Linked DNA regions of Anolis sagrei. The protein of the gene in region 2 interacts with the protein of the main gene of each other region in a biochemical or structural test. Links are inferred from orthologs where the notes say so. Each region holds a gene or a part of one and is shown on either strand. Other genes may lie near its edges. The genes, in order: CLDN1, TJP1 and CLDN2.

Region 1 (7,397 bases), on a different chromosome or scaffold from region 2:
GACAACACTAGGGATTCTCGAACCTGGAAGACCAAAGTTGGGGAAGCACTGGCTGTAGATGCACCTATTTCCTAAAATGCAGAAACCCTTTGCGGATGAGGGAAAAAACAACCAGGCACATTTTAACACCTCTCAACAGGGGATTTTCCCAGGCTCAGCCAGGCCTTCAAATGCTAATGAAGGTGATCAGTTGAAACATTCACATCTAGCTCCAGCTTCTTGCCCCATCCCAGCCATTCCAGAGATATATAAACCCATTGTCCTAATTCCAACAGACCTCACTACCTCTGAAGATGCTTGCCATAGATGCAGGCGAAACGTCAGGAGAAATGCCTCTAGAACATGGCCCTATAGCCCGAAAAAACCCACAAGAACCTAGTGAAAAACACCTTGTTTGTTCTTCACCAACACACCAGACCCTTGCGGTGTTTTTATCTCTCGGTATAATCCTCCGCCAAGCAATTCTCAGACAGCACTTTCCATAATTGTTCTTCAGCTCCAAGACCATCCAGCCACAAAGAGCGAAAACAACTCAAAAGGGAGGAGGAGGTTGTTTTGGTCCGGACGTTGCTTCATCTTGATGACTTGAGGGATTTTGGCTGGCCTCTCGGAGGGGTTTGCAAAACACGCCGGCTCAAGGGATGAGGATTACCCACCAGGCCTGGCTCCACCACAAAGGGATCCAGAAGCAGGGAAACATCATCGCTCCCTTCTATCCGAAACAACAAACAAAAGTGGCTCCATAAATAGAACGTCTCTCGTGTGTTGACTCTCCCCTCCTCTGGCCTCAAACAGGGATGGTCCTGGCATTCGTCTTCTGCATTTTTTCCCCAAATCTCCAGGTTATAGAATCACACAATCTTGGAGTTGAAAGGGACCCCCGAAGGCCATCCAGCCCAAACCTTTTCTGCCAGGCTAAAATGCACAACTACATCCCCTAGAATCATAGAATCATAGAATCAAAGAGTTGGAAGAGACCTCCTGGGCCATCCAGTCCAACCCCATTCTGCCAAGAAGCAGGAATATTGCATTCAAATCACCCCTGACAAATGGCCATCCAGCCTCTGCTTAAAAGCTTCCAAAGAAGGAGCCTCCACCACACTCCGGGGCAGAGAGTTCCACTGCTGAACGGCTCTCACAGTCAGGAAGTTCTTCCTAATGTTCAGATGGAATCTCCTCTCTTGTAGTTTGAAGCCATTGTTCCTTGTCCTAGTCTCCAAGGAAGCAGAAAACAAGCTTGCTCCCTCCTCCTCCCTGTGGCTTCCTCTCACATATTTATACATGGCTATCATATCTCCTCTCAGCCTTCTCTTCTTCAGGCTAAACATGCCCAGTTCCCTAAGCCGCTCCTCATAGGGCTTGTTCTCCAGACCCTTGATCATTTTAGTCTCCCTCCTCTGGACACATTCCAGCTTGTCAATATCTCTCTTGAATTGTGGTGCCCAGAATTGGACACAATATTCCTCCTAGTGTGCATCTACATGTGGAATTAATGCATGTTGACACTACTTTAACTACCATGCTCATGGCCTTGGCATCATAAGAGCTATAGTTTTATAAGGTCTTTAGCCTTCTCTGCCAATGAGTGTTGTGCCTTTTCGCCTGGCAAAAAAAAGGCTTCTCCACCAAATAGTGTTATTATTATTATTTATTTTTATTATTATTTATTTCAGGTACTTTTACCCCGCCCTTCTCAACCCCCGAGGGGGGACTCAGGGCGGCTTACAAAAAGGCACAATTCGATGCCTACATAGAATACATACAGCAATCAAACAATTATCACAGTTAAATTGGTCAGTATATAACACAATCAATAAAAATAAAACACAATCAATAAAAAACTAATCTCAAGCTCAGCGTTCGTCTTTCAGAGTTCCATAATTCCATTCCACTTTCTCAATTCCTGTCCATTGTCGAAATCCTCCTTTATCTGCCCGATTGTCCGAATGCCTGGTCCCAAATCCATGTTTTCAGTTTTTTCCTGAAGGAAAGGAGGGATGTCCCTGTTCTGATTTCCCCGGGGAGTGAATTCCACAGGTGAGGGGCCACCACCGAGAAAGCCCTGCTCCTCGTCCCTGCCAATCTCACTTGTGATAGAGGCGGGGTCGAGAGCAGGGCCTCCCCAGAAGATCTTAGACTTCGAGGTGGGATGTAGAGGGAGATCCGTTTAGACAGATACACTGGGTCGGAACCGTATAGGGTTTTGTTGCCTCACCAAACTACAACTCCCAGGATTCTATAGCAGTGAGCCATGACAGTTAAAATGGGGTCAAACTGCATTAATTCGACAGTATAGATGCACCCCTAAAAGCAGGTTTTCCATTCTCTGCTTAAAGACCTCCAAAGAGCGAGGGTCCACCACATGTTGAGGAAGGCCGTTCCCCTTTCAAACCCCTCTTTCACTCAGGAAAGTTTTCTCAATGTTTTGGTAGAGTTTCTTTTCCAGGAGTCGGAATCTATTACTCTGTCTTAGGGTGCAGAATGAATTCAGTTTGACCCATGTTAACTGCCATTTTCCAATGCTATTGAGTCCTGAGTGTTATAGTTTGGTGAGGCAACAACACTATTTGGTGGAGAAACCTCAGAGACTGTGTAAAACTATAACTCCCATGAAATCTCAGTGTAATGACTGAGAGTACTGTGAATAGAGGGATAAAATGTGGAGGCCGTGACAGACTTTGTATTTCTAGGTGCAAAGATGACTGCAGATGCAGATTACTGTGGCCAGGAAATCAGAAGACGCTTCCTACTCGGGAGGAGAGCAATGTCCAGTCTCGATATAATAGTAAAGAGCAGAGACATCAGACTGGCAACCAAGATCCATTGCCTAGTCAAAGCCATGGTCTTCCCTGTAGTCACCTACGGATGTGAGAGCTGGACCTTAGGGAAGGCTGAGCCAAGGAAGAGAGATGCTTTTGAGCTGTGGTGTTGGAGGAAAGTTCTGAGCGTGCCTTGGACTGCAAGAAGATCCAACCAGTCCATCCTCCAGGAAATAATGCCTGACTTCTCACTGGAGGGAAGGATACTAGAGACAAAGTGGAAGTCCTTTGGCCACATCATGAGGAGACAGCAAAGCCTAGAGAAGGGAATGATGCTGGGGAAAGTGGAAGGCAAAAGGAAGAGGGGCCGACCAAGGCAAGATGGATGGATGGCATCCTTGAAGTGACTGGACTGACCTTGAAGGAGCTGGGGGTGGTGACGGCCGACAGGGAGCTCTGGCGTGGGCTGGTCCATGAGGTCACGAAGAGTCTGAGACGACTGAACGAATGAACAACAACAACATGGCAGCGTAGAAGAGACCTGAAATAAGAAAGAGCAATAGATTGACTTTTGCATGTGTGAATCCCTCTGAGGAGCAGCTGAGGGAGCTCGGGATGTTTAGCTTGGAGGAGAGAACGATAAGAGGGAACATGATGCTTGAGTTGATTTATTGGAAAGGATGATACATTGAGGAGAAAGGGAAAAGCGTGCTTCCTGTTGCTCCAGAGGCTGGGACACAATGGAGCCATGGATGCAAATTGCAGGGAAAGAGATCCCACCTATGTTTTAGGAAGACATTCCTGATGGTAACAGCTTTCTGACAGTAGGATGTGTCACTTTGAAGTATGGTAGAACCTCCTTCTATGGAAGTTTTGTTAACAAAGAGTTGTGCTTGAATTATTTCTTCCCACACAGTAGTACGAGGTTGGACCGGATGACCTCTGGGTTCCCTTTCAAGTCGAGGGGTTCTATGTAATCACACACGACGTCTAGCAAGAAAGTATCTGGAAATCCCTTTGACGCCTCTCCTTTCCTGTTCTGGAAGTGTCCCGACGCTTCCAAAGAACAGGGTGGATCCTGCAAGGGAGATGTGTCATGAAGCGAGAGAACACATCGGGGGTGCACTTTGGCCCAGGAAGGAACGCAACTTGGGGTGACTGATATTGCCTTAACCCCACACCTTTTCCACCAGTCGAAGCAAGTATCTTTCCCCACCTTTCCCCAGAACTAAACCTTGAAGTATGGGTTGCAAAAGAACCGTCAAAGCATTGTAACTTTTTTTGTTTTGTGGTTGCAATTTTTCATTTGGGAAAGCAAAGCACTGGATGGACGGCAAAGTCGAACGAAACCACCAGGCGGAGCTGGAGAGGCGCTGGTTTAAATAGAGCTGCCGAGCTGCCCCGAAAGCCAGTTCTCCAAGTCGGCTCCAAGTCCAGCAGCATCAACCTGCTCTGAAATCCCTCGGATTACAAAAAGGAGAGCAGAGAAGAGCAGAGAAGGATCCCTCCTTGGCTTCATCTCTCCAAGGACCAAGCGCCCTTCCTTCCTCCATCCATCCATCCTTTTCAGGTGCTCCTTTGCCTCATTGTTGCTGTTCCAGTGGAGACGCAATGGCCAGTGGTGGTCTGCAGATGCTGGGCTTCCTCCTGGCCTTCATCGGCTGGATCGGCACCATCGTCAGCACTGCCATGCCTCAGTGGAAGATCAACTCCTACGCCGGAGACAACCTCATCACGGCCCAAGCCATCTACGAGGGGCTCTGGATGAACTGTGTGATGCAGAGCACCGGGCAGATGCAGTGCAAGGTCTTCGACTCCCTCCTCAAGCTGCCAGGTAGGGCCCCAAAACAGGGTCAAGATGGTGATGATGGCAGGTTGGGTCTCTCTCATCTGAAATGCACAGGAGCAGATGTGCTTTGGATTTGGATTTATTGGTATTTTAAGATCGGGATAGACCTAGCATGGGCAAACTTTGACCCTCCAGGTGTTTTGGACTTCAACTTGGTAGTTGGTAGGGTGTTAGGAATTGTGTGAGTTGAAGTCCAAAACACCTGGAGGGTTGAAGTTTGCCCATGGTGGGTCTATCCTGATCTTAAAATATCAATATATCCAAATCCAAAGCACATCTTCTGGTCCTAACCGGACTTGACCCATATATAGTGTCCTATGAAATGTCATTGAATGCTGTCTTAGATTTGGGTGCCATCTCAATGACACCTCATGCTATAGGTCTATCCCAGACATGGGCAAACTTCGACCCTCCAGGTGTTTTGGACTTCAACTTGGTAGTTGGTATGCTGTTAGGAATTGTGTGAGTTGAAGTCCAAAACATCTGGAGGGTCGAAGTTTGCCCATGCCGGGTCTATCCCGATCTTAAAATACCAATAAATCCAAATCCAAAGCACATCTTCTGGTCCTAACCGGACTTGACCCATACATAGTGTCCGATGATCTTGACCCATATATAGTGTCCTATGAAATGTCACTGAATGCTGTGTTAGATTTGGGTGCCATCTCAATGACATCTCATGCTATAGGTCTATCCCAGACATGGGCAAACTTCGACCCTCCAGTGTTTTGGACTTCAACTTGGTAGTTAGTAGGGTGTTAGGATTTGTGTGAGTTGAAGTCCAAAACACCTTGAAGGCCCAAGGTTGCCCATGTCTTGAGTAGACCTATATCATAAGATGTCATCGAGATGAGAACCAAATCTAACACAACATTGAGTGACATTGCATAGGACACTATATATGGGTCAAGACCATAGGACAGTATGTATGGGTCAAGTCTGGTCAGGACCAGAAGTGTTTGGGAGTTGGTGTTTACCCCATATTCAAATATATATGTACATCACGAGAGAACTTGGGTGTGGGCTCCAAGTCTAAATGTAACATTTGTGTCAGTTTCATAGACACCTTCCACAGGTCAATAATTCCTTATCCCAAATGCTTCTGTGTCATTGACTCCTATGGTTGAGATTCCAGGGGTTTTCATATTTTCAGATACTTGTATCTGCAATTACGGACATCATGAGATGTCTTGGAGATGGGACACCAATCTAAACACAAAATTCATTTAGGTGTCATAGACACTACACACTCGTACAGGTCAACTCTCCCTTTTCCAAATGCTTGGGACTAGAAGTGTTTTGGAATGCTTTGTTTTGGACATATGTAAACAATGAGATATATGGAGATGGGATTCAAACCTAAACATGAAATTCAGTGATGTTTCATCAACAATGGAATTCAGATGTTGGCTACGAACCTCATGAGATATCTTGGAGTTTGAACCCAAGTCGAAACTTGATATGTTTCATAGACATATGAGTGTTCTTCGTCAAAAACAGTTGGGATCAGTCATCTTGGTATCTTGGAATTTGGGTTTTTTTGAAATATGTATTTGTCTAAACACAAAATTCATGTATATTTAATGGACACCTTATTATGGGTGGAGTATTCCTTATCTGAAATCCTGGTGAACAGAAGAGTTTTGGGATATTTCATATTTTCCAATACCTGTATTTGCCTATCTGTATCTTTGAGATTAGATTCAGGTTTAAACTATCTATGAAACATACAAAAGTCATGGAAAGGCAGAATATTCCTTATCCAAAATGGTTGGGATCACTTGTGTTTGGGGTTTTAGATTCCCCCCTCCTCCTTATATGGGTGGAGTATTCCTTATCCAAAAGGGTTAGAACCAAAATGTTTAGGATCTGGAATACCTGTTTCTGGGTATGCTCACATATTGAGGAATCTTGGACATGGGATCCAAAGGTAAACACAGCATCCATGTATGTTTAAAAAAGACAGTTTGAGTATTCCTTATCCGAAATGTTTAGAACCAGAGTTGTTTGGTATTAAAATTTTTGGAATTCTTGTATTTGTGTCTTCGTCCCTCATGAGATCATAGAATCAAAGAGTTGGAAGAGACCTCATGGGCCATCCAGTCCAACCCCATTCTGCCAAGAAGCAGGAATATTGCATTCAAATCACCCCAGACAGATGGCCATCCAGCCTCTGTTTAAAAGCTTCCAAAGAAGGAGCCTCCACCACACTCCGGGGCAGAGAGTTCCACTGCTGAACAGCTCTCACAGTCAGGAAGTTCTTCCTCATGTTCAGATGGAATCTCCTCTCTTATAGTTTGAAGCCATTGTTCCATTGTGTCCTAGTCTCTAAGGAAGCAGAAAACAAGCTTGCTCCCTCCTCCCTGTGATTTCCTCTCACATATTTATACATGGCTATCATATCTCCTTTCAGCCTTCTCTTCTTCCTGGCTAAACATGCCCAGCTCTTTAAGCCGCTCCTCATAGGGCTTGTTCTCCAGAATCTTGATCATTTTAGTCACCCTCCTCTGGACTAAAATGATCAAGATTTTGGAGAACAAGGCTGAGGGAGTGGTCCCTTTGCTTTCCAGTGATACAGAAACTTTGCTTTGTGTGCAAAACAATTACAAATATTGTCCACTAGCTGTCCCCTGCCATGCGTTGCTGTGGCCCACATGGGGGTTCTGTGTGGGAGGTTTGACCCAATTCTATTGTTGGTGGGGTTCAGAATGCTCTGATTGTAGGTGAACTATAAATCCCAGCAACTACAACTCCCAAATGTCAAGATTCTATTTTCCCCAAACTCCACC
Region 2 (8,347 bases):
ATTCATTTATATATTGAAATCCTTCCCTGTAACTGTTTTGCACCCTTCCCAGGATCATAAACCTGTCCAGTAAATCATAAGGGTAGGAAACAGAGAGATATATGGTCATCTGTTGATCAGTAAATTGTGGCAAACGGTCCATCACATTACTGAATCATAGGACTTGTAACTCAGTTTTAAAGGTAATTAAGTTTACAAGTGTGAAATAATGGAGGTGTAAGAGGCATATATTTCAGAGATCAAATTACCTTCAGACACTTATTTCTACCCAACAAGCCTTAGTAGCTGTTACATTTAAAAATAGATTATTATAAAACCTGCAGGGTCCTTAGTTTTTTTGTTTTAATTTGATGTGCATAATTAAGGTGCTAACTACCTTTAGATTAATTAGCCTCTCTCCTGCAGCAATGTGAGAACCTGTAGAGCTAACATACACATATCACTCCTCAGCCTGCTTGAGTCAGAAACAGTTGGCTTAAGGCTACCAACCAAGGTACACCTGGGCAAATGAACTATTGAATGCAGGGAGGCTTGCCTCTGAGTAAAGACGCATGGAATTGTGTTACACTGATCCCTGAAATCACTGGGATTATGCCTGCAGTCCTATCCACATCTGTCCTTAAATCCAGTTGTTTTATATGTTGTCATCTGACTTATGATTATTTCCCCTGAAGGGTATGTAATATTGCAGACTCTGAAGTATGCCAGATTCACTTGCATGTCACAACCCACTTCTATCTATGTGTTTTTCAGTCATCTGCTGACTATATCTTTCTTCAGTCACAATTTTTATCAAATAATCCTTGCTTAATTTCACAGTACATTCTGCAGTGAAAGCGTATTGCTATTTGCATACCTGCCCATCATATATCTCCCAAACCACTAAGGCAGAGTTTCTCAACCTGGGGGTCGGGACCCCTGGGCCACCAAAGAAGGGTCACCAAAAACCATCAAAAATATAGTTTTTTTTCTGTTGGTCATGGGGGTTCGGAGTGGGAAGTTAGGCCCAATTTTATCATTGGTGGGAGGGTCACCATTGGTGGGAAGGGTCACCAAAGACTATCAAAAATATAGTTGTTTTCTGTTGGTCATGGGGGTTCGGAGTGGGAAGTTAGGCCCAATTCTATCATTGGTGGGAGTCAGAATGCTCTTTGATTGTAGGTGAACTAAAAATCCCAGCAACTACAGCTCCCAAATCTCAAGATCTATTTCCCCCATAATACAACAGTGTTCACATTTGGGCATATTGAGTATTCGTGCCAAGTTTGGTCCAGATCCATCATTGTTTGAGTCCACAGTGCTCTCTGGATGTAGGTGAACTACAATTCCAAAACTCAAGGTCAATGCCCAGGAAACCCTTTCTGTATTGGATGTGGGAGTTTTGTGTGCCAAGTATGATTAAATTCCATCATTGGTGGAGTTTAGAATGCTCTTTGTTTATAAATCCCAGCAACTACAACTCCCAAATGACAAAATCAATCTTCCCAAACCTCACCAGTATTCAAATGTGGGCATATCGGGTATTTGTGCCAAATGTGGATCAGTGAATGAAAATACATCCTGCATGTTAGATATTTACATTACGATTCATAACAGTAGAAAAATTACAGTTATGAAGTAGCAATGAAAAAAATGTTATGGTTGGGGGTCACCACAACATGAGGAACTGCATTAAGGGATTAGGAAGGTTGAGAAACACTGCTGTTGAACTATCATACACACATCAGTCCTTAGCCTGCTTTTGCCAGGAACAATTGGCTTAAGGCTGCAAACCAAGGTACACCTGGGTAAATAAACTATTGAATGCAGGGAGGCTTGCCTCTGAGTAAAGATGCATGGAATTGTATTAAACTGATCCCTGAAATCACTGGGATTAAGCCTGCAGACCTATCCACATCTGTCCTTAAATCCAGTTGGTTTATATGTTGTCATCTGACCTATGATTATTTCCCCTGAAGGGTATGTAATATTGCAGACTCTGAAGTATGCCACATTCACTTGCATGTCACAACCCACTTCTATCAATGTGTTTTTCAGTCATCTGCTGACCATATCTTTCTTCAGTCACAATTTTTATCAAATAATCCTAGCTTAATTTCACAGAACAATACATTCTGCAACACAAAGTGTATTGCTATTTGCGTATCTATCTTCTCTCTCTCTCAGACCACTAAGGCAACGTATCTGCAAGTGTACACTGAATAGTCTACTGAAGTATTAAAGTGGCCACTACATAATCAAATTAACATTTTCCCCGACTTGAGAATATTTATTATCAACCAGCTGGTTCTTCTGCATCGTTGATAATCCCAACTGATGGTATTAACTCATTTCTATTTTACTACCATGGCTTCTACAGAGAGATTTAAAGCATTTTCTATATCCCCCACAATTATTTCTGTCCTCTTCTTCTGTTTCTTTCAACAGAGTAGCTATAATGAGAGCAAGCGGAGGAGCACAAGCGAGAGAAAGTAACTTCTAATTATAGACCATTTGTGTGGAAGGATTCGAAGGCTCTGCCGATAACACACTTGGAACATTTCAGACGGCAGGACCTATGACCTTACCTTGGTAGCCAAGGAGAACGGAAATGAACGAGTGGGGACAGACCTCCTCCAGCACCGAGCAGAACGCGGACAGGGCACCGGGCCCTTTGCAAACCAGTTTCTCTAAAAAATAGGCAGCTTGCTTCTCGCAGCACTCCCGGGACAAAATGTCTTTGTACTCCTCCAAGGAAAAGACTCTCTCATAAACCAGATATGACAGCACTTTCTGCACATCCAGCTCTCTCACGATTCTCTCCCTGTGGTTGCTTAGGATATCAGCAAGCCACTGGTTCCTATCTGTGCTTTCTTTTTTGGTTGGTTTTGCACAGTTATAAAACCAAGACCGGACCGGCCACCTAAACATGTTTGCATTTAAAGCTAAAAATAAATAAAAAGAAAGGATTGCCGCTCTCTGTCAGACGCTTGCAGCCTTCCGGGGTCTATAGGCACGCCGTGGGAAGGCAAGGGGGTATCGCCTGCCGATAGATAGGGCAATTTGACTGGAAAAGCAGAGGCCTAGGTTCGAATTATAAAAGCACAAAAAGCAAAAGAAACTGCCACGCACAGTGCTTCCAGCTCCCTAAGAGGATTACTTTACACTAATTAGCCTTTTACAAGCGTTAATAGGCATCTCCACAACCACAAAAAGGCAGAGAGGAGAATAGCTGGGCTACTGTTCACTTTGTAATTCTCTAAACCGCTTCGCAACAAACAAAACGAGTCTATTGTAGAAAGTTACACTGAAGAAGACAGGATATCAAAGCACTTATCCATTGCAGGCAAGTATTAAAACAAGAAACAAGGGCACAGTTTTAAGTGGATACTAAGATTTCTGCCTTGTTGGGCTGGCCTCCCAAATAATACTGTGATAGTGATGGTCCCTTTTAAGTAGAATTGCACAAGTGATATACCCGTATATACTCGAGTATAAGCTGACCCGAATGTAAGCCTAGGCACCTAATTTTACCACAAAAAAACCTGGGAAAACGTATTGACTCGAGTATAAGCCGAGGTGGGAAATGCAGCAGCTACTGGTCAATTTCAAAATATAAATACCAATACAATTACATTAATTGAGGCATCAGAAGGTTAAATGTTTTTGAATATTTACATAAAAGTGTAATTTAAGATAAGACTGTCCAAGTTTGATTAATCCATTATTCTAACCTTCTGCTTATGTATTCTTCCGATAATAATAAAGAGAGTGAAATAATAAATGTAATAATAACAATAATAAAACAAAATAATAAATGTAATAATAAGAGTAAAATAATCAATGTAATAATAACAATAACAACAGAATTCAATAATAAATTATCTTGACTCAAGTATAAGCCGAGAGGGACTTTTTCAGCCTAAAAAAGGGCTGAAAAACTAGGCTTATACTCGAGTATTTACAGTATTTGTTCTTATGCATACATAAGCAGAAGGCCTAGGACTTGTTCTTCATGGGTGTGTACTGTTGGAAAAAGACATTTGTGAGGAGCAGGGAAATAGTCTAAATCTTTTTGGAAACTTGCATTTACAATGTTTAACACTGATTGTATCTTTTGTGATTCCAGAATTATTGGATGATTGTTTTTTTTAAAAAAAAAACTCTCATAAATAGCATCTACTTAATGAATTAGGATTAAGGGGAGAGATTCTGACAGCTTCAATGTAGGTGTACTGCCAGTAGTAATTATTCACTGAGGATCAAACTTGCGTAACAACCCTGCTTCACATATACCCATAGTATTTACTCGAGTCTAATATGCCATCGAATCTAATGTGAAGCTCAATTTTCAAAATTCTGAAACCAAGAAAAAAAAAAGTATTTGCTGCCGAATGTGATATGCAGTGGCAAAAAGTGTAGTTTTTGTAATTTGGCCAAAAAAAAAAAAAAAGACATGCATTACTGTTGCTGACTGATTAGGATTCCTTCATTTATTTTATTTATTTACTTCTGGTATTTCTAACCCGTTCCTTCTCAGCCTCCAAAGAGGGATTCAGGACGGCTTACATTTGACAGCAATTCAATGCCACTACAAATAACACGGCATTACTGAACAAGGAACGTCTAAAGGATTATGAGAACGAGATCTGATTTCATTCAGGCGTAGATGATTATTTGTTGTATGTCTGTATATGTTATGTCTTATTTACTGTAATTGTTATTAATCGCACTGTAAACCGCATAGAGTCGCTGTATCAGGCTGATATATGCGGTATAAAAGAAAAGCAAATAAATAAATAAATAAATAAACACTTAAAACAATAAGTAAAACATCTCTTTTGGAAGTCATGCTTCCAAAAAGCCTGTGGAGATTCCTGGTTTCCCCAAAATTCCTCTCTCCTCGCTCATTTCATCTTAACAAACAACTTAGTGAGGTAGGCTAGGCAGGGAAGCAATGACTATCACAAGGTCACCAAGCCAACTTTGACGTGCGAAGAACCGTGTTTACACATCTGTTTCGACAGGCCTTTGATTTTTGATATTGCTGTTTTTAAATTGTTTTAAATTGTTTTTAAATTGTGTTAGATTTTAGCCTGTTCTTGTAAGCCGCTCTGAGCCCCAGGGGAGTGGCGGCACATAAATTTGAACAATAAATAAATAAAATAATCTAGCAACTTCCTGAACTTAAAAAAATAAGCAACATAATTTCATCTATGCTGACGATCATGCCATCACCAATGAAGCAGGGAGCTTTGAAATGATGATGATGATGATTATTATTATTAACTTTATTTGTACCCCGCTAGCATCTCCCGAAGGACTCGATGCGGCTTACATGGGTCGAAGCCCATGAAATGGTTGAACAGAAGCTCTCTGAAGCTTTGGGTGCTCTTACTACCTATTACAGGAAAAACCAGCTGACTCCTAATTCATCTAAAATGCAGATGTGTGCATTTCATCCAAAGAACAGACAAGCATCTCGAGCTCTGAGGATTATGTGGGAAGGAATCCTATTGTAGCACTGCAGCACAGGAACACCTCAGCAAGCAAGAGTCCAAAAGTGGCAGGTTAAAACCCAGAATCAGTGGCTGAGACCAGATGAGAAACTCCCTCCTGGGCACACAGAAGACTGGGAGACTTGGAAGGTGCTGAACAGGCTGCACTACTGCTCCCCTCAACTTTTCTGTCACTGGAGTACACGCCCCCCACATGGGAAGTTTAGTTCACAACCCTGTGTTTCTTTATCAGCTCCCTGCAAATAACTTGCTTCTATTCTTATCTCATTAGAGTTTTTAAACATTTTATCCTGTACATGTGGTCCGCCCACATGTGTCACTGTGATTGTGTTTATTTTTATTGTAATGTTATTTTGTTACTGTATTCATATGTTTTTTTCCATGTAATTTTGATGATGTTGCTTGTTGTTTATGTTTTGATTTTATTTTTGCTGTAATATGTTGTCTGGGCTTGGCCCCATGTAAGCCGCTCTGAGTCCCCATTGGGGAGATAGTGGCGGGTATGAATAAAGATTATTATTATTATTATTATTATTATTATTATCATCATCATCATCATCATCATAAGATGCAGCGCCAACCTTAAAAAATGGGGCCACAGAGTGGAGTCCAGGAGTGTGCAGAAGAGCAAACCACAGACAACTTACTATAATTCAGTCTGAGCCCTGCCACATGCACAATGGAGGACCTCCTTACAGCAACAGTAGAACCACTCCAAGTGGCCAGCTTCTGGTCAACCACAATTCAAGAGAGATATTGACAAGCTGGAATGTGTCCAGAGGAGAGCGACTAAAATGATAAAAGGTCTGGAGAACAAGCCCTATGAGCGGCTTACGGAGCTGGGCATGTTTAGCCTGAAGAAGAGAAGGCTGAGAGGAGATATGATAGCCATGTATAAATATGTGAGAGGAAGCCACAGGGAGGAGGAGGGAGCAAGCTTGTTTTCTGCTTCCTTGGAGACTAGGACGCGGAACAATGGCTTCAAACTACAAGAGAGGAGATTCCATCTGAACATGAGGAAGAACTTCCTGACTGTGAGAGCCGTTCAGCAGTGGAACTCTCTGCCCCGGAGTGTGGTGGAGGCTCCTTCTTTGGAAGCTTTTAAACAGAGGCTGGATGGCCATCTGTCAGGGGTGATTTGAATGCAGTGTTCCTGCTTCTTGGCAGGGGGTTGGACTGGATGGCCCATGAGGTCTCTTCCAACTCTTTGATTCTATGAAAGGAAATTTAGTATAATGCCAAGTTTTTAACTTTGTTTGTATTTTAAAATACATTATAACTGCACCCTCAATTCGCTTCTGACACGATAAATAAATAAGCAACAGGATGTATTTGTTTTTGAAGTAGTAAACTGTGATGTGTTATTTAAACATTTAAAAACTACAGGATGCATCACCACATACATACCTTGTGTTTTTGGAGAAAAATACACGGTGCCTAAAGTCTGTTTCTGGAGCAAAATTTTCTGAGATACTGCCATCTTGTGCTTGTCTCCAGATATGGCCATCTTCTATCTGAAGCAAAGTTTGTTAACTTGGAAGAACTTCACGAGAACCTGGAAATAATATTGATATATTAGGGGACAATTAGTGATTATGAGGACCTTCCGTCATACCATACCTCTGTACATTTGCAGATTGCCTTAATTGAAAGGTTCGGGCAAATGCATTTCTAAGTCTGTACTACTTTTCCACTTCCACCTTTGGAAGGTTTAGTGTGAAGATGTAAGATGGCCAAGCTATGTGTTCACATAAAACATTTTATCTCCCTCAGATAATGAGTAATATTGTAGAGCAAGCATGGGCAAACTTGGGCCTTCCAGGTGTTTTGGACTTCAACTCCCACAATTCCTAACAGCCTCAGGCCTCTTCCTGGAAGAGGCCTGGGGCTGTTAGGAATCGTGGGAGTTGAAGTCCAAAACATCTGGAAGGCCCAAGTTTGCCCATGCCTGAGGCACATCTGGTTATAAAACTATTATAATAGTTATTGTTGTGTTTCCAGATTTAAGGTGTATCCACTCGGTGAATGCAGGTAGACATCACTTGGCCAGCCATGACTCAATGCTCATGTCACTTGTAGTTTTCCAAGCTCTCTAGCCTTCTCTGTCATATAGCATTGGTGTCTTGCCAAACTACAATTCCCAGGAGTCCATAGTACTGAGCCATTCCAGTAGTATCAAACTGCAGGGATTCTACAATGGAGATGCACCCTAAACCTGGAACCAAAATAATAACAGAAACAATAGGAATACAGTTTTGTGCGTGTGTGTGTGTGTGTGTGTGTGTGTCAAGAGCGACTTGAGAAACTGTAAGTCATTTCTGGTGTGAGAGAATTTGCGGTCTGCAAGGACATTGCCCAGGGAACTCCCAGATGTTTTACGATCTTTGGCTTCTCTCATGTCCCCGTATGAGAAGCTGGAGTTGACAGACGGGAGCTCACCCCACTCACCAATCCTGCCAATATAAGGACCTAACCCATTGCGCCACTGGCGGCTCCAGGAGTACAGTACTATCTATACTACTAATAATATTGGAAAAGTGTGTAAACACAGGGTTGTTGTAGGTTTTTCCGGGCTATATGGCCATGTTCTAGAGGCATTTTCTCCTGACGTTTCGCCTGCATCTATGGCAAGCACCCTCACTACCTCTGAGGATGCTTGCCATAGATGCAGGCGAAACGTCAGGAGAAAATGCCTCTAGAACATGGCCATATAGCCCGAAAAAACCTACAACAACCCTGTGTAAACACATCAAATTGTTATTATAAAGAGGAAACATTGTCCTGGGAAGAACTGAAAGGGTAATCCATGAACAAAAAGAAAATGAAATATTTATTTGTTTGTTTGTTTA
Region 3 (7,492 bases), on a different chromosome or scaffold from region 2:
TCCCCAGCATAACTGTCTTCTCTAGGCTTTGCTGTCTCCTCATGATGTGGCCAAAGTACTTCAACTTTGTCTCTAGTATCCTTCCCTCCAGTGAGCAGTCGGGCTTTATTTCCTGGAGGATGGACTGGTGGATCTTCTCGCAGTCCAAGGCACTCTCAGCACTTTCCTCCAACACCACAGTTCAAAAGCATCTCTCTTCCTTTGCTCAGCCTTCCCTAAGGTCCATCTCTCACATCCGTAGGTGACTACAGGGAATACCATGGCTTTGACTAGGCGGATCTTTGTTGCCAGTCTGATGTCTCTATTTTATCGAGACTGGACATTGCTCTCCTCCCAAGAAGTAAGCGTCTTCTGATTTCCTGGCCACAGTCTGCATCTGCAGTCATCTTTGCCTCTAGAAATACAAAGTCTGTCACGGCCTCCACATTTTCTCCCTCTATTTTCCAGTTGTCAATCATTCTTGTTGCCATAATCTTGGTTTTTTTATGTTTAGCTGCAACCCGGCTTTTGCGCTTTCTTCTTTCACCTTGATTAGAAGGCTCCTCATCTCCTCCTCGCTTTCGGCCATCAGAGTGGTGTCATCTGCATATCTGAGGTTGTTAATGTTTCTTCCAGCAATTTTCACCCCAGCCTTGCATTCGTTAAGCCCGGCACATCGCATGATGTGTTCTGCATACAGGTTAAAAAGGTTGGGTGAGAGGATGCAGCCTTGCCATACGCCTTTCCCAATCTTGAACCAGTCTGTTGTTCCGTGGTCAGTTCTGACTGTTGCTACTTGGTCCTTGTACAGATTCCTCAGGAGAGAGACAAGGGGGCTTGGGATGCCCATCCCACCAAGAACTTTCCACAATTTATTATGATCCACACAGTCAAAGGCTTTATAATAGTCAAACTTGGCTTTAGAATAGTCAAAGTTGTAGGTGAACTACAACTCCAAAACTCAAGATCAATACCCACCAAACCCTTCCAGTATTTTCTGTTTGCCATGGGAGTTCTGTGTGCCAAGTTTGATTCAATTCAATTGTTGGTGAAGTTCAGAACGCTCTCTGATTGTAGGTGAACTATACATCCCAGCAACAACTCTCACAGGACAAATACCCTCCCCCAATCCCACCAGTATTCAAATTTGGGTGTATTGGGTACTTGTGCCAAATTTGGTCCAGTGAATAAAATACATCCTGCATATCAGATATTTACATTACTATTCATAACAGCAGCAAAATGACAGTTATGAAGTAGCAATGAAACTAATTTTATGGATGGAGGTCACCATAACATGAGGAAGCGTATTAAGGAGTCGTGGCATTAGGAAGGTTGAGAACCACTGGTCTAGAGGCATTCTCTCCTGACGTTTCGCCTGCATCTATGGCAAGCATCCTCAGAGGTAGTGAGGTCTGTTGGAACTAGGAAAAAGGGTTTATATATCTGTGGAATGACCAGGGTGAGACAAAGGACTCTTGTCTGCTGGAGCTAGGTGTGAATGTTTCAACTGATCACCTTGATTAAAATTTGATTGCCTGGCAGTGCCTGGAGCAAACCTTTGTTGAGAGGTGATTAGATGTCCTTGTTTGTTTCCTCTCTGTTGTTGTGCTGTTGTTATTTTAGAGGTTTTTAACACAGAAATGCTGGACGACTCTCACAACCACCATGTCAGACTACACAGAGAAGCCATTGAAATACACAAGCATGTGGACAATTTCAACAGAAAGGAAGAAACCATGAAAATGAACAAAATCTGGCTACCAGTATTAAAAAATTCTAAAATTGCAACAGCAAAAACAGCAGAGAGAAAAACAGGCAGGGACATCTAATCACCTTTCAAGAAGAGTTTGCTCCAGGCACAGTCAGCCCATTGTATGCTAATCAAGGTGGTCAGTTGAAAGATTCACACCTAGCCCAACTTACAAAAGCCCTTTGTCTCACCCCAGCCATTCCACAGATATATAAACCCCCTTTTTTCCCAGTTCCAGCAGACCTCACCTCTGAGGATGCTTGCCATAGATGCAGGCGAAACGTCAGGAGAAATGCCTCTAGAACATGGCCATATAGCCCGAAAAAAACCCACAAGAAATATATGGCCATGGTCTAGAGCAGTGTTTCTCAACCTGGGGGTCAGGACCCCTGAGGGGGTCGTCAGGGGGTGTCAAAGGGGTCGCCAAAGACCATCAGAAAACACAGTATTTTCTGTTGGTCATTGGGATTCTGTGTGGGAAGTTTGACCCAATTCTATTGTTGGTCGAGTTCAGAAGGCTCTTTGATTGTAAGTGAACTACAACAACTACAACTCCCAAATGTCAAGGTCTATTTTCCCCAAACTCCACCAGTGTTTACATTTGGGCATATTGAGTATTCGTGCCAAGTTTGGTCCAGATCCATCATTGCATGAATCCACAGCACTCCTCTGGATATAGGTGAACTACAACTCCCAAACTCAAGGTCAATACCCACCAAACCCTTCCAGTGTTTTCTAATAGTCATTGGAGTTCTGTGTGCCAAGTTCGGTTTAAATCCATCGCTGGTGGAGTTTAGAATGCTCTTTAGTTATAGGTGAACTATAAATCCCAGCAACTACAATTCCCAAATTACAAAATCAGTCCTCCCCCCAACCCCACTAGCACTCACATTTTGGCATATTGGGTATTTGTGCTCAATTTAGTCCAGTGAATGAAAATACATCCTGCATATCGGATATTTACATTACGATTTATAACAGTAGTAAAAGGACAGGTATCAAGTAGCAACGAAAACAATATTATGGTTGAGGGTCACCACAACATATGGAACTGCATTAAGGGGTCACGGCATTAGCAAGGTTGAAAACCACTGGTCTAGAGGCATTCTCTCCTGACGTTTCGCCTGCATCTATGGCAAGCATCCTCAGAGGTAGTGAGGTCTGTTGGAACTAGGAAAATTGGGTTTATATATCTGTGGAATGACCAGGGTGGGACAAAGGACTCTTGTCTGTTGGAGCTAGGTGTGAATGTTTCAACTGATCACCTTGATTAGCATTTGATTGCCTGGCAGTGCCAGGAGCAAACTTTTGTTGAGAGGTGATTAGATGTCTTTGTTTGTTTCCTCTCTGTTGTTGTGCTGTTCTAATTTTAGAGTTTTTAAACACAGAAATACTGGACGACTCTCACAACCACCATGTCAGACTACACAGAGAAGCCATTGAAATACACAAGCATGTGGACAATTTCAACAGAAAAGAGGAAACCATGAAAAGGAACAAAATCTGGCTACCAGTATTAAAAAACAGTACAACCATATTATTTTACCACAAAGAAATGCCTCCTAAGGAAGAGATAACATTGGTCTGTGTATTTTTGTTCTTTTTATCACTTTGGGCTACTGGTGCTGGGTCATGCTGCTGTTAATAAGTTACTCTGCTGTGCATGTATGAGGAGGGTCTTTTGTTAATAAGCCCACTCACCCAACATGACCCACCAAGGCACTCTCCTTTGGTTCCTTGGCCATTTGCGCCATTTGCTTCTCACTTGGCACAAGGGCAATCCTGGGAGCAGGGGCGGCTCGTCCATTACGCAAAGTAAGCGGTTGCGGTACACTTTTTTTTGGCCAGGGGCGCAGAGGCGCCTCTGTAAATGCCCCTCGATCGCCACTTATGGAGCACCCCCTCGGCTCACAACAGCCCTAGCAGTCCGGGGGGAGCCTCGGCTTCCTTGCCTCACTGCCGGGCGATCCTCTTCCCAAAGGGGCTGGGCCCTTGAGCCTCGCCTAGCCCCTCTTGTTTCTGCTCCATATCAATGATTGGTTGGGGAGGGGGGCGCCAAAATACTGTTTGCTTACTATTGAAAATTACTTGGGGCCACCTCTCTGCCTGGGAGGAAAGGCAGGGGAGGGCCTTCTCCTCCTTGCAGTTCCCAGAGATCCCTTGGCTCTTTCTGATCCCAGTGTGGTCCCAGGGGCCCAGCCTCCCCTCCATCCCAAACATGCTTCTCTCTGCCCCCGCCAGGACCCATAACAGCTCAGGTCCACTCAATGGGGGTCAGTCTGCAGGCAAAAGACCAGGCCCCACGGTTCCTGATCTGTCCGAGTCTTTAAAGGGTTTAATTGTGATCTGGACTAAGCCTCGGCCCCCGAGCCACGATTTGCGGGTGGATTTGGCAAAGCTGCAGTGAAAAATTAGAAAGCCCTCCTCAGCCTCCCTCCGGCCTTGTTCTGAGGAGGCGCCTGACCACCCAGCCTCCCTGCCCTCCAGCAAGCCCTGAGGTAAGCCCCCCTCCCGTCGTGGGGTCAGTTGCCATGGGGTGCCCCCTCTGGGATGGGAAGGGAGGATGGGTCACCCTCTTGGCCAGGCCATGGGCATCCTGGCTGCAGGAGAGCCAGCTCCCCAGAAATAGCTCTGCTCCTTTCCCTATTTCCTCCTCCTTCCAAGAAGAGAACCATAGCAGCAAAAGACTCTGGGTCTCTTCCTGTGCAAAGAAAGGGAAGCGTCTGGTGGGCTGGGTCAGCTGTGAGAACCAAACAGTAAAGAGGCAACTCTCTGGGCCGGAGCCCGGTGGTGCAGTGGGTTAAAGCCCTGTGCCGGCAGGACTGAAGACCGACAGGTCGCAGGTTCAAATCCGGGGAGAGGCGGATGAGCTCCCTCTATCAACTCCAGCTCCTCATGCGGGGACACGAGAGAAGCCTCCCACAAGGATGATAAAAACATCAAATCATCCAGGTGTCCCCTGGGCAATGTCCTTGCAGACGGCCAATTCTCTCACACCAGAAGCGACTTGCAGTTTCTCAAGTTGCTCCTGACATGACAAAAAAAAACCTCTCTGGGCCAAATCCTGGGAAAGCTGCATGTGCATTTCAAAGGGAATTGGAAGAGGAAGAGGATACAGGTAGATTCCAGGCATAAAGCCAGAAGCAGAGGGCCACTGGGGAACCCTCCAAAGGAGGAGGCAGGGGAGGAGGGCTTCCTACCAAGGCACCTCTGCCCCAGCAGTTGGGGCCTCCTAACCTTCATGTTGCCAATCTGGGTGAGGAGATAGAGAGGGAAAGGACATTTGGAGACCTTCCCGGAGTGTAGTGGGGTGAGCATTGTGCTGGGAAGCAAGAGTGAGCTCCCCCCCCCCCCCCACACACACACCCTGGGAGAGGTCTGTCCCCTTCAGACCCAGGACTCTGCTTTGGCTCTTGGAATATGTTGGGGAATCGGAGCTGTTAGGTTCAAAAATAACCTTCAGTTAGGGTGATTCTGCCATAAATATAGCAGAGTACCAGAAGCAAACTTCATAACCAGCAGAAACATAGTAAAGGTAAAGGTAGTTCCCTGACATTACGTCCAGTCATGTCTGACTCTGGGGTGTGGTGCTCATCTCCATTTCTAAGCCGAAGAGCCAGCGTTGTCCGTAGACACCTCCAAGGTCATGTGGCCGGCATGACTGCATGGAGCTGGGTGAAACTGGGATAAGCCTCTATTTCTTAGGATGACACAGGATTTCAGAATCAGAACTTTAGGTTCGAAGATATTTATTGAAGTAAAAGAAATACACTAACTAGCTTCCTAAATCCCATCTTCTAAGAAAGGTAAAAGGGTAAAAAGTGAAAAAAAATCCATGCAGCTACATTTTGCCTAAAGAGAGAAACAAAATGTGCATTCTCACTGGAAGGAAGGAAAGGCAGAAGACACAGTGGTGGCGAATGGCCACATGGCCAGTTCAGGGCAATAAAAATACCTTTAAAACTGAAGTTCCCCCACAGAGATTCCATTGCTACATCTTCAAAGGGGGAGGAGAGAGTGGCTAGTAGGAGGAGGAAAGACAAAGCCCTTTTGGGAAACGTGCCTAGAAATGTGTGTGTTTGGGGGGGGGGGATCCCTCAACCTAATCCTATCTCTAGTATAGCTACTCATTGAGGACTAGAGACTTGACGACACAAGAGATTGGGCAGTCCAGGGATGAAACCCAACAGCCTCCTTACCTTTGTGTTGCCAACCTGGAAGAGGAGACGGGAAAGGGAGGGGTTTATGGAGACCTTCGTGGCCCCCGTCCCCTGGTCTTGGGTGGGGTGGGCGCTGTGCTGGGAAGCAAGAGTGGGCAGACCGTCTAGGGAGAGGTCCATCTCCTCCAGGTCCAGGGTTCTGCTTTAGCCCTTGTCCTCATTTCCCCGGTCCATTCCAAGAGCGATTATTAGCTCAGCTCTCCTCTGGCAAGACCCTTCTCCCTCTCCCCTTCCTTCCCTCCCTCCCTCCCTTTGTAAAAGAAGCTGGCTAGAAGGGAGAAGAAAGAGAGAGAAACCATGCCAGGGAAGGGGACAGGGCAAGGGCAACCATGTTGGGACCAGAGGTCAAACCAGGCCACCATCCACTTGGGGCTCCCAGCGTGGATCTTCTTGCCCCAAAGGATAGAGCCCAGGCTATTTATTTATTGTGTCAGGCAACTGAACAGTTCTATTACATTTTTGACAGAACAAACAAACAAACAAACAAACATACAAAAGACACAGAGTTTGCAGGCTTGGTGGTTGATTAAATGTCCTTTGACCAGTATCTGGCCACTTGGAGTGCCTCTGGTGTTGCCGCAAGAAGGTCCTCCATTGTGCATGTAGCAGGGCTCAGGTGGTCTGTAGTTTGCTCTTCACCACACTCGCATGTCGTGGATTCCACTTTGTGGCCCCATTTCTGAAGGTTGGCTCTGCATCTCGTGCTGCCAGAGCGCAGTCTGTTCGGCGCCTTCCAAGTTGCCCAGTTTTGTGTGAGCCCAGGGGGGAGTCTCTCATTGGGTATCAGCCATTGATTGAGGCTCTGGGTTTGAGCCTGCCACTTTTGGACTCTCGCTTGCTGAGGTGTTCCAGCGAGTGTCTCTGTAGATCTTAGAAAACTATTTCTTGATTTAAGTCGTTGGCATGCTGGCTGATGCCCAAACAAGGGATGAGCTGGAGATGTCTCTGCCTTGGTCCTTTCACTATTGGCTGCTATTTCCCGGCAGATGTCAGGTGGTGCGATACCAGCTAAGCAGTGTAATTTCTCCAGTTGTGTAGGGCGCAGACACCCCGTGATAATGTGGCATGTCTCATTAAGAGCCACATCTCATTAAGAGCCCAGGTTGAGGTGGAAAGAATGGCTGCCACTGGTGGGAAGCAGAGACCGTTCCTCCAACTTGGAACTGGGTTGTGTGTGTGTTAGGGAGGAAGAACGCCTAAGGGCACAGCCATCTTGGTTGAATCAAGTGTGTGCTTCTCTCACACACATATACACACACTCCGACAGGCTGTTGCCAGATGCCCATTCAGCATTCAAGGGCCAAGTACAAGTGGGAGGGGGCACATCATTGAGACAGGGCCATACCTCACTCACTCCAAGTTCTGCACATCACTTATTGCCTGAAGAGTCTGAAGCGGTTGCTTCCTCAAACAGTTTGTGATTCCTACGAGGTTGCATGTGGGTTTGGACTTTTCAAAACATAATTTCTACATATAGATAACGGGGTGAAGGTAGGAAGAGCACTGTGCATTTTTCTGAAGCCATGGGTCGATCATTAAC

Evidence for each region.
Region 1: the proteins of TJP1 (region 2) and CLDN1 form a complex in vitro, tested with the Homo sapiens proteins (2 studies listed by BioGRID and IntAct, with this or other methods). The link is inferred for Anolis sagrei from reciprocal best matches to the Homo sapiens genes TJP1 and CLDN1.
Region 3: the proteins of TJP1 (region 2) and CLDN2 form a complex in vitro, tested with the Homo sapiens proteins (2 studies listed by BioGRID and IntAct, with this or other methods). The link is inferred for Anolis sagrei from reciprocal best matches to the Homo sapiens genes TJP1 and CLDN2.

The regions. Positions count from the first base shown.
Region 1 is NC_090023.1:271,015,259-271,022,655, reverse strand, and holds the start of CLDN1 (claudin-1), read left to right. Parts: upstream 1-4,156; 5' UTR 4,157-4,370; coding exon 4,371-4,593; intron 4,594-7,397.
Region 2 is NC_090029.1:6,538,313-6,546,659, forward strand, and holds the start of TJP1 (tight junction protein ZO-1), read right to left. Parts: upstream 3,081-8,347; 5' UTR 2,911-3,080; coding exon 2,568-2,910; exon of another isoform or gene 2,428-2,567; intron 1-2,427. UniProt on the Homo sapiens protein: TJP1, TJP2, and TJP3 are closely related scaffolding proteins that link tight junction (TJ) transmembrane proteins such as claudins, junctional adhesion molecules, and occludin to the actin cytoskeleton.
Region 3 is NC_090030.1:19,901,491-19,908,982, forward strand, and holds the start of CLDN2 (claudin-2), read left to right. Parts: upstream 1-4,167; 5' UTR 4,168-4,230; intron 4,231-7,492. UniProt on the Homo sapiens protein: Forms paracellular channels: polymerizes in tight junction strands with cation- and water-selective channels through the strands, conveying epithelial permeability in a process known as paracellular tight junction permeability.